Linked DNA regions of Caenorhabditis elegans. The gene in region 1 interacts genetically with each later gene. Each region holds a gene or a part of one and is shown in the gene's direction. Other genes may lie near its edges.

Region 1 (3,404 bases):
GATCGGCAAATGGCAAATTTGGTAAATTTGACGCACACCCCTAGTAGAAACGTTGTTCAAAATTCTTGGAAAAAATTATTACCACTTCAATAAGTTTGATAGTAGTCTAGAATCAAATTGGAATACGATGGTAATTAACAATGCTTTTAAAAAAAATTGAATTTGCAAAGGTCTAAATAATTTCCCATGCTCCATACGAAGAAAATGATTACTCAAATTTAACCGATATTCATGAATTGTAGAAAAATAACTTTCTGGTAATCGTCAAATTGTTTGACATTTTCCTTATCAATAATTAATCATCAAAATTATTGAGGAGAAAAAATCAGCTTCATGACTAAATTACATCACTACTAGCCGGAAATGCCATCATTGAACTTTTACGGACACGTGGCTCCTGGGTATACTTGAAAATCTTAAAGGTGGAGTACCGAAATCAGAGACTTTGTTTTTAGACCCAAAATAGCCCAAAACTACCGAATTTCGTAATGAGACGTTTTCAAAACTTCGCAAAAAAAAATTATGGCGGTTCAAAGTTCTGGAAAAACAGACCCATTTTCAGCTAAAATAAAATTTTCATTCTTTGATAAATATTGTGGTTTTTTATTAGGAGTTTATTGTTTGATTAAAGTGCATTTTCGGTCATTGGGGCACAAAAACATAGCTTTTATTTGTGCCCCACTGGCCGAAAATGTACTTAAACCAACGAATAAATGCGCATTAAACGATCACATTATTTATTAGAAAGTGGTAATTAAATACAAATTAACTTCCAGACGCAGCGACACCGAGAAGTTGGAAACAATTTGATTTTAGCTGAAAGTGGACCTTTTTCCAGATTTTTGAACTGCCATAACGTGTTGAGAAATTTTCAAGATGTCTCATTACGATATGCGGTAGTTTTGAGCCTAAAAAGCAAAGTCTCAGATTTCGGTACTCCACCTTTAAGCTTTAAGTTACTGTAAACTCAAGTTTCAGAAGTTTTTAAAAGTTCAATTTTTATAGTATTGGAAAGTTTACCACATACAATTGCAATATGGCTTAACGGAGGAAGATTTTAAGAAAATGCCACATTGAAATTCTCTGAAGATTCATTGAAAGGAAAAGTACTATTTATAAGTCAGCATTAAAAAAACTGCCACGTTATATATTGTTTAGCGCTAATAAAAACCCAAGCTATTAAAGAAAATTGCGGTATCTTCTGTCTTCAATGTCAGCGGGTTTTATTACATTATTGATCGGTTTTTCTTGGTGAGCTGGTATGTACCAAGTTCTCCCTGTAACTTGGCACTTCGATAATAAGGGTTGTAAATGGTGACGTGTGGAACGAGGAACAATTAAATAACTAAAATACGAATTTAGGTTGAAAAACTCCTAAAATAAAACAATTCAGAGATTTTGCAAATTTGTTAAAACTCTAGAATTTTATCACTACTTCCTCTCTTGACGTTTATCAGCACACATCTTAATTTCCAAACTAACTCGTGACATTCTTTATGCCGGGCTGAATTTTTCATCGAAAAGCCTTTTTCAGTTCAGTAAACAAGCAACTTATCATCGAAATAGTTCGAGGCGGAGCATATGCCAACTCATCAATAAGTTGATAAGAAACACTGCTTATAAGAGACGATGGCAGGTGTACAATGTACTCAAGCCTTTTTTTCCATGATTCATGTAGTAAGGAATTCTCTAGAATCGTATTTGATGACTCATAGGCAAGAATCCGCCCATTCTGTGATGTATAAATAGATGAGGATTGTTTACATTTATTGCCCAATTTCTATTTTTTTTTCGTTGAACATTTTCCCCCAGTAGACACCGAGAATTGTTTACTTTGCCGAGGGTTTTTCATACGCTCTTATCAACTTTCAAACTACTCGGCTTTTCGATCTTTAGACATTTTACATCACCTAGTGATAAAACATGCGATTTAGAGCCAAAGAATCAGCTTACAATTCTCATAGATGTACATTTTATACGAATAGTGGTCTTAGTATTGCTCCTAACATGTTTCCCTTCCCAACTCACACAGTTGATTTCAGAATCAACCATGATCGGAGGAGGAATCGGAATCAGCTTCCGCAACGAATTCTTCAACCCACAAACCCCAGTGAACATCCCAGTGCAAGGATTCTCCAACGGTGCTCGCCTCCGTCTCGTTCTTCTCCCAACATCCGCCGATTCTCGTTTCCACATCAATCTTCGCACTCCAGACGACATTGTTCTTCACTTCAACGCTAGATTCGATGAGGGAGCTGTTGTGAACAACTCGACCAGCGGAGGAGGTTGGCAATCCGAGGATCGTCACGCCAATCCATTCCAGCAGAACAAGATCTACACTCTGGAGTTTGTGTCCAACGGTGGAATTATCTCGGTTAGTTGGATTCTGGGCTTAAGAATGTTAAGGCGGACTGTGTTCGTGCAAAGCACGTGGTGCCAGACTGTCTCGTTGCGGTTTGATCTACAAAAAATGAGGGAATTTTTCGTGACATCAGCACACTCTTAATCATGCGAAATCAGTTGAGAAGTCAGCGCCTCTTCGGCCGCATTTTTTGAAGATCACACCAAAATGGGACACTTCGACACCACGTGGAAAAGTTTGATTTTTCGTACTCCCATCTCTGATGAGCATTGGATTTCGAGCCCTGTTCACCTACTGAAACTTAATCTTTAAACTATTATATTTTTCAGATCTTCGTCAACGGAGCCCACTTCGCTGACTTTGTCGAGCGTACTCCATCCCACGGAGTCCATCTCATTGAGATCGAGGGAGGAGTTCATGTTCATTCCGCCCATGTTTCTCACTAATTTATTTAATTTTTGGTTTAAAATACTCTTTCTTTATGATACATTTTGAATTTTTGTGCAAATTTCATATCAATAAACCTTGGTTTTGAATATTTCTATTTTCTAAATTCCGAAAAATGGATTCGCAGACACTGAGTCGAAGCGCCATATTTTACGCGCAATTTCGGCAGTAATGGTAGAGGTCACCGCTATAAAGTTGATAATTCATAGTTTATTATTATGAAGCATCAGTTTTAGCGTGCTTAGCGTCCCCTAATACTTTTTAATCATTACTTAGTTCCAAAGGGCATTTTCTCTTAAAACTTCTTATCTCGAAAAAATAGTGAAGGAATTCGATTTATTCTTCGGAAAAGATTTTTTTTTGAAAATTCTTAATCAGATTTTCACTTATTTTCTTTTAATAAAGCTTTATTTTCTATTTTATATCCACTCGTTCATTTAAAGCAAGTTTCAAAAACTGAAATCGAGGAAAATACTATTTTAGGGTACTGTAGTTCCTGTTCGGTGCAAACACTGTGGCTGCGGACCGGGCACCTTATTTGACGCACAAAATTTATTTGAATTATTTTTTTTCATTTTCTCTTCGTTTTTGTCTA
Region 2 (8,034 bases), on another chromosome or scaffold:
CCGTCAGAAGGTGCCCATCGGACTTGCATATGAGACTTATGCCATTCGATAGTGCATGTCTTAAAACGGTTGCTCGTGAATTTTTAGCGGCAAAACTCCAGAACCAAGCTCACGGCGGGATCTCAAAGATCCTAAAATAGCACTGTAAATAAGAACTTTAACGATCTAACGAAGCAAGTTTTCATATTCACTTTGGCAGCTCATATAGAAAAGCATTAGAAACTGAATAGCAGCAAAACAATAACAACAACAGTTGCCGCACTTCACGCGCTTCTATCTGAAACAAAAAATTTTTGGGAAAAAACTTTCAACTACAAACTTGTTCTTTACAACAATATCAACAACTTATCAGTTGATGACTTTTCTGTAAAAAAATTATCCGCGGAGATATGATCTACCAAAGTGAATTTGGAAAATTGGCCCTCCAATGCTTCGTTAAAGTGCTATTTTAGGATCATTGAGAGCCCGCCGTGAGCTTGGTTCTGGAGTTTTGCAGCTAAAAATTCACGAGTAACCGTTTTAAGACATGGGCTATCGAATGGCGTAGATCTCATATGCAAGTCCAATGGGTACCTTCTGACGGTTCACTAGTAAGAACTTTAAAAGTTTCCCAAAATAATTTCATATTCAAATTTTTTTACAATTTATATAAAAATATGATAGAAAAAAAAAGACAAAAGACACACACACACAAATACATAGAATATGAAAATCACATTTTTTTTCCTTGATTTCAAAAGTTATGTTATTTAAAACTTGCTCCTTGCTGCGTTTGGTTATATTGGCACCATCTTTTTAAAAATACTTATTAGACAGCCCAAGTAAAAGTGCTCCAAAAGGTGTGTTTTGTACATTTGACAAATTTGTGCTTGAAATTTTAATTCAATTATCATTCGACTCAGACATGGTCTTGAAACCCTTACTCTATTTTTATATGAGTGTGTTTAATATAACTTTCTAAAGAGTTCTGAGGTGTATGTTTTCCCAGAGCATAAAGGTGTCAGATATGATATAAAATATCTACGAAGGAGTATCTGAACAGTTAAAAAAATTTCAAATTATAAGGTTTATAGGTTTTTAATTAAAATGACTATTCCAGGACTGAATTTTGATTTATTGATACATATTGGAATTTCTTTGATTTGGTTTTCAAACTGCCATGTTTTATGATCAGTTTCGATAACAACCAGACGAGTGAAATGAGGCAAAAAGTAAATTCAAAAATGAGTAGTGTAGTTTACCGCGGAGTTTTCAGCAGGATATAATTAATGTTGGTGGATATTCAAATGTGTAATATTGCAATTTAAAATGTTGAGTTTAGATTATAAGTCATCTCCGAATCTATTTTTTTTTCTCAAAAAACTACACTCCAAACCGCCAGAATGAAATCCGCTAGTGACTCATTTTCAGGCTTATCTTCGTTCCATTTTTCAATATTTCACAACTAGCGTGATTTTGATAAAAAATAATGCAAACCACAGTAAAGTAAAAATTTTATTTGGTTAACCAAATGACGAATTGACAGTTAGATAGCTGAAACTAGATTACAGCTATAAATCGGATGACTAAGTATTTGGGTTTGCCAACGCTTCACATACACCCAAAATTCCTGCTCCAACTACTTTTTTGAAGCTCATTTTCTTTTTCTCATTGTTTCTCTTGCAGCAGAAATCACTAATTTCGTATCCTGCTTCACAGGTTTCGCCTCCAAGGTTCTGAGACTCCACCCACTTCGTGCTCTTATCAAGAGAGGGCAACTACCGTATAACAAGGACCGATTGGCGACCAAGAACCAATTTTGACTGTTCATTATAAGAGCCTCATTCTATTTAATTTACATCTCGCCAGGTCGCACTTCACTTCTTCTCTCTACTCGAAGAAGCCCTACTGATTTTTTTCTCAAATTTTATTTCTGAGAGCCTTCCTTGCTTTACTGTGTTTTTTAAGGATCTTACTATTCACTAACACATTCAAATTTCAGATGCGCTTGGGCATTTTCCTGCTGGCACTTGCCGGCTGTTGTAGTTTCGCTAGTGCTAAACAAAACTGCTTAGTCGGAAATCTAATTGTATCGGAAAATGTTATTACATCAAAGTCTGTTGAATTGGTACGTCCATCTAATATACATACATTCTATATATTTACTTTAACTGTTTCAGAGAGAATGCGAAGGATTGTGCAGAAAACAAACTGTCAAATCTCCAAGCGGAGGACTTGTTCTCTTGACATGCGAAGAGAACAAGCTTATGGCTTTCATTAACAAAGGACAGGATTGCTCCAGCAGTGAGCTTGAGACATCATGCTTCTGCGAGGATGAGTTGTGTAACAAGGTCGACTTGGAAGAAAATATTCCAAAGCCAATCGAAGTTATTAATGCCCCAAAGTGAGTTTTGTTATCACTGTTATTTTTGACAACTGATAGGAATTGAGGTTTGCATAAGTCTCTGATAGTAACTTTTGATAAACGACTATTTTTGATAACAGCTGCGAAAGAGAAAAACTGATGCAAAATCAGATTAATTTTTTGACCAATTGAAACTTTTTTTAATATTTCGAAATTTTGAATATTAGAGAAACTAAAAACACACGTCGAAATTTCTCCCGTAGATTTGTTTTTAACTTTAGCGATTGGTTTTGAGCAATTTTTTTCCAAATTTTAAAACATTTTCAAGTTTGTACGATTCAAATGTTTAACGTTTATATGAAATCCATCGTTTTTAGATCAAAAATATGTGTAGCCTTAAATTTTTTAAACTCCTTCCGGAAATCGCACTAACTTCTTACTATATAATATTATTTTTTTAGTATGACTTTTCAGCGATATAGTCTAAAATTGAACTTTTTCACTGTACTTTCTTTTACTATACTTTGTCCTAGTTCAATTCCTGACCACAAACTGTTACGTGTGTAAATTTGCCAGTCAACGTCAAACTGATAACAATAATGGAATAATTGGTTTACATTTGGGCGCGCTTCTTATCTGACTGTGCCAATAACGCACGCAACACAACCATAAAACGTGGCTAGTTAGCTCCTCGGCATTGAAATTCGGAAATATTTTAACCAATTGTGTGATAAGAGATTGATAGTACATTTTTACCAATTACCAAAAAACTTCCCTGAAGGAAGATCAAAGAAGATAAGTGAAGATAAATTGAATGTATTAATTGCAGCAACATCCTCTGCTACGTCGGATTCTATGCCAACAACACTACTCCAGGATTCGGATCAGGAGACACCGTCACTTGCTCCCCAGGAAATGTATGTACCAGTGTTTCTGGAGTCTACAACGGATATGACGCTGCTGCCTACGCTTGCATGCCACAAGGACTTTGCGACAGCATCTTCCCAAATATTGACCCAAATAATCCAATCGCCTGCACCAATCTCGCTGGAACCAACATTCAAGGATGCTGCTGTTACAAGCAAGATTGTACTAGCCTCGCTCCAATGAACAACCCACCAACTCCATCTCCATGGAACAAGAACAACCAGACATGCTATCAAGGAATTTCCGTCAACGGAGCTCTCTTGTACGGAGGATCTTTCTCTCAATGCTTGGGAGAATGCGGATCTGCTCGTATTCGTACCACTTACAATGGAGCCAATGTATGGGGAGAGATCTTCGTTTGTGACCCAGTCAACGTCTTCACTGCTTTGAACCTCGACAACGGATGCATGAACCTTGACACCCAAAACATCAATGGAGTCCCAACCGCTCTCATCACCGGCTGTGCCTGCAACAGCATGGACAAATGTATTGACCCAACTGTTGTTCCACCAGTCTACCCAGTCAAGCAGCTCAGATGCGCTGTCGGACTTTACAATGGAACAACCTGGCTCGGAGCTGAAATGAACTGCCAAGGACGATGTGGACGTGTCAGGTTCAATGCCAACGGACAACAAGTTTCATACTTCACTTGCATGCCATACGATGTCTGCGCTGGATTCGGACTTGCTTCCACTGAAGGACAAACCTACAATCCACCACAAGACGAGGAACTTGAGGTGTACTGCTGCTCTGCTAGCAACAACTGCAACGTTAACAATCCATACATTCTCGGACGTGTGAATAACTCTGCTGTGTCTACCGCCAAGTATCCAGTTCTCTGCTACGGAGGAATCTGGGTTAACGGAGTTTCCATCACCAACTCTGCTTACGGACTCTGCCAAGGAGAGTGTGCTTCAGCTAGCTTCACCACCACCTTCGCCAACCAAGTTCACAATGCTACCATCTACACTTGCGATCCAGTCACAATGTGCCAACAAGCCGGAATCTCCAACTCTTGCGGAAGCGTTCTTGGAGGAGTCAATGCTTGCTGTTGCGACAATGATCTTTGCATTGATCCAAACAGAGGATCTCAACGCCCACAACTTCGTTGCTATTCTGGAGTTTCTATTCCACAAGACAAATACAACACTGGAGGAGACCAATTCTGTGATGGATGGTGCGGATCCTTGAACTCTGTTGTCAACGGAAAGAACGCAACTGTCTACTACTGCGCCCCAGTTGGAATGTGCCGCTACTTCGGACTCGGATTCGGAGGATCTTACGGAAACTGTGGACAAATCCCAGGAGCTGACCCACAAGTCACTGGATGCTGCTGCTCAGAAACTGACAACTGTCTTGCCCCAGCTGGAGTCAACGTCACTGCCATCCCAGCTCGTCGTGACCCAAGAATTGTCTGCTACGAAGGAATCCATCTCAACGGACAAAACATCAGCCAGCCTTACTACCGCATGTGCGACGGAGAATGTGTGTCTGTTTCCCTTGGAGGAACCGTCAATAACAACTCTCACTACGCTACTCTCTACACCTGCGATCCAAGCAGTGCCTGTGCCGCGATGGGACTTCGTAACAACTGCTCCACCATTGACAACTCTCTCACTGCTTGCTGCTGTGACTCCAATGAGTGTATTGATCCAACCTACAACCGTGTTCCAGGAAAAGCTCTCAAATGCTACGTCGGTATCAGCACCCAGCACAAGGGAAACATCGCAGGAGCTGAAGTTCTTTGCGACGGATATTGTGCCACCGTTTCCGCTGTTGTCGGATCCGACTATGTCACCGCCTTCCATTGCGCTCCAAGATCTATGTGCCGTTCCCTTGGACTTGACAACTCGAACAACACTTTCTACTTGGACAGATTCGTCAACGCGTACTGCTGTGATGTCTTCGACAACTGCAACGTTGCTACGTCTGGATTCAACGTCACCATTCCACCACTTGCACCAAATGAGATGCCACGCGCTTGCTATTCTGGAATTTTCATTGGAGGAAGCCAAATCTCTGACGGAGGATGGACTGCTTGCAAGGGAGATTGTGTTGCTGTCAACTTGAACACCACATACAACGGAGTTGCTACCACTGCTTCTCTTTACACGTGTGACCCATCTTACATCTGCAGAATGATGAACTCAACAAACAGATGCCACCAACAAGAACAAGGATTCGAGACTTGCTGCTGTGACAGCGATGCTTGCCTCGATCCAACATCCACCCCACCACGTAAACCATATGGAGATGGAAACCTCTGTTACGTCGGAGCTTACTCCTATGATTTGAAGGGAAATACCATCTTCAATGCCGGAGGAGAACAATACTGCGAAGGAAACTGCGCATCTGTTACTTCAACACTTGCCAACGCTAACGTCACTGTTTACGCTTGTGTCCCAGCATACGTCTGTAACAGCTTGTACGTCTATGACAGCTGCCGCACACTCTGGTATGATAGAGATATCACTGGATGTTGTTGTACCAATGGACCTAACTGCAACTTGAATCAAGTTGTTCCAAGACCTCCAATCAACAATCCCGGAAGAAGACGTCCACGTGTTGAATATCCAATCACCTGCCCAGCTGGTCTTATCGTTGACGGATTCAACCAAACTCCAATGGAATTCTCCGTTTGCTTCGGTGAATGTGCCTCTGTCAGCATCAATGCTACGATCAACGGAACTTTGCACACGGCTTCCTTCTACACTTGTGATCCATCGTCTGTCTGCTACCAACTTAAAGTTCATAACAACTGTACTTCCCCAGAAGCTGGAGTAACCGCTTGCTGCTGCGACAGTGATGCTTGCCTCGACCCGAACAGAGGAAAGACCGTTCCAACTCCACCACTCAAGTGCTACGTTGGACTTTACTCTACCAGCGTGCCATCACTTCAAACCGGAGCTGAACAACTCTGCGACGGAAAGTGCGCTTCTGTTAGCGCTCGCATTGCCAATGACAACGTGACCCTCTTCGCTTGTGTTCCACACTCTCTATGCCGTTCCCTCGAGCTCTACGATTCCTGCGCCCGCATGGAGCCATACTACCCAGAATTCCGAGCTTGCTGCTGTGACAATGCTGATAACTGCAACGTTCAACAGACCCATCTTGCCAATGTGATCAACACCACCATCCCACTCACTCCACTCAATGATGCTCCAATATCTTGCTACTCCGGACTTTTCATCAACGGAACCGCTTACAGCTCAGCTGGATGGCAGGTTTGCCAAGGAGAGTGTGTCTCAGTATCAATCACATCTCAATTCAATGGACAAGCCGGAACCGCTGCTCTTTACACCTGCGATCCATCCCGCGTTTGCCGTAATTTGAACATTCTGAACAAGTGCTCCAGTCTTGAGAACGGAATTACCGGATGCTGCTGTAACACCAATGCCTGTATTGATCCAACAGTCTATCCAGCTCGTAACCCAGGAAACCAACTTATGTGCTATGCTGGTATCAGCTCGAACTACATTGTTAATGGAAGCGCAGTTAACGTTGGAGCTCAAATTCCATGTAACGGACAATGCTCATCCCTCTCAGGAGTTGTCGGTGGATTCCAAGTCAACACCTATCACTGCATGCCAAACTCGATCTGTAACTCCCTTGAACTCTACGACAACTGCAAACCAGTTTGGAATGACAACCAAGTCACTGGATGCTGCTGTAACAATGCCAACAACTGTAACATTGCCAATACCACCATCACTCCACCACCACCACCAACTTCAGTCGACTATGCTATTGCTTGCTACACTGGACTTTATGTCAACGGTGTTCCATCTACTCCAGTCATTCTCGGAGCTTGCCAGGGACAATGTGCGTCCATCTCATTGAACACTACACTCAACGGAGTTGCCACCACAGCAACTCTTTACGGATGCGACCCAAGCACTGTTTGCCAATCTCTCAACATGAACAACTGGTGTGCCTCCCCAATCCCAGGAGTCTCCGGATGCTGCTGTAACACTGATCTCTGCCTTGATCCACCAAAGAACAAGACTGTACCATCTGGATTCCGCAAGTGCTTCGCTGGAATCTACGCTCAAGGAAAGGCCACTGGATCTGAAATCTTCTGCCCAGGAAAGTGCGCCTCAATTCAAGCTACCCTCAACCAAGACCCAGTTGCTATCTTCGGATGCGTGCCAACCCAATTCTGCAGACAACTCGAGATGTACGACGAGTGCAAACCACTTCCATATGATACCACAGTTACGGGATGCTGCTGCGACAACTACAACAACTGCAACGTCGATTTGGCTGGATATGGTGGAAAGATCAATACTTCAATGCCAGTTACGAACTTCCGTGATTATCCAATCGCTTGCTTCTCTGGTCTTTACGTCAATAACATGCCAATTTCCATCGCTGGTTGGCAAGCATGTAAGGGAGAATGCGCTTCTGCTACTCTCTCAACCATGTACAATGGAGCTCTCACCAACGCTACAATTTACACTTGCGATCCAGTCAGCACATGCTATCAACTTGGAATGAACAACAATTGTACTACCATTGAGAATGGACTTTCCGGATGCTGCTGTTCTACCGATGCTTGCCTCGACCCAACTGTTTCTCCACCACGTACTCCTAACCCACTCAAGTGCTACGTTGGTCTACAATCTACCTACAATTCGTTGAGCCTCGGAGCTGAGACCTATTGTTCCGGACAATGCGCTTCATTGACTGGAATCGTCGGAGGTTTCAATGTCACTACTTATCACTGTGTTGCTGATACTATCTGCAAATCTCTTGAGATTAAG

Evidence for each region.
Region 2: of lec-6 (region 1) and bcf-1, changing one enhances a phenotype caused by changing the other (phenotypic enhancement), as found in Caenorhabditis elegans (one study listed by BioGRID).

Annotation. Positions count from the first base shown.
Region 1 is NC_003281.10:599,005-602,408, reverse strand, and holds lec-6 (Galectin), read left to right. Parts: upstream 1-2,042; 5' UTR 2,043-2,050; coding exon 2,051-2,374; intron 2,375-2,691; coding exon 2,692-2,808; 3' UTR 2,809-2,899; downstream 2,900-3,404.
Region 2 is NC_003283.11:6,402,731-6,410,764, reverse strand, and holds the start of bcf-1 (bacterial colonization factor), read left to right. Parts: upstream 1-1,981; coding exon 1,982-2,107; intron 2,108-2,159; coding exon 2,160-2,383; intron 2,384-3,173; coding exon 3,174-8,034.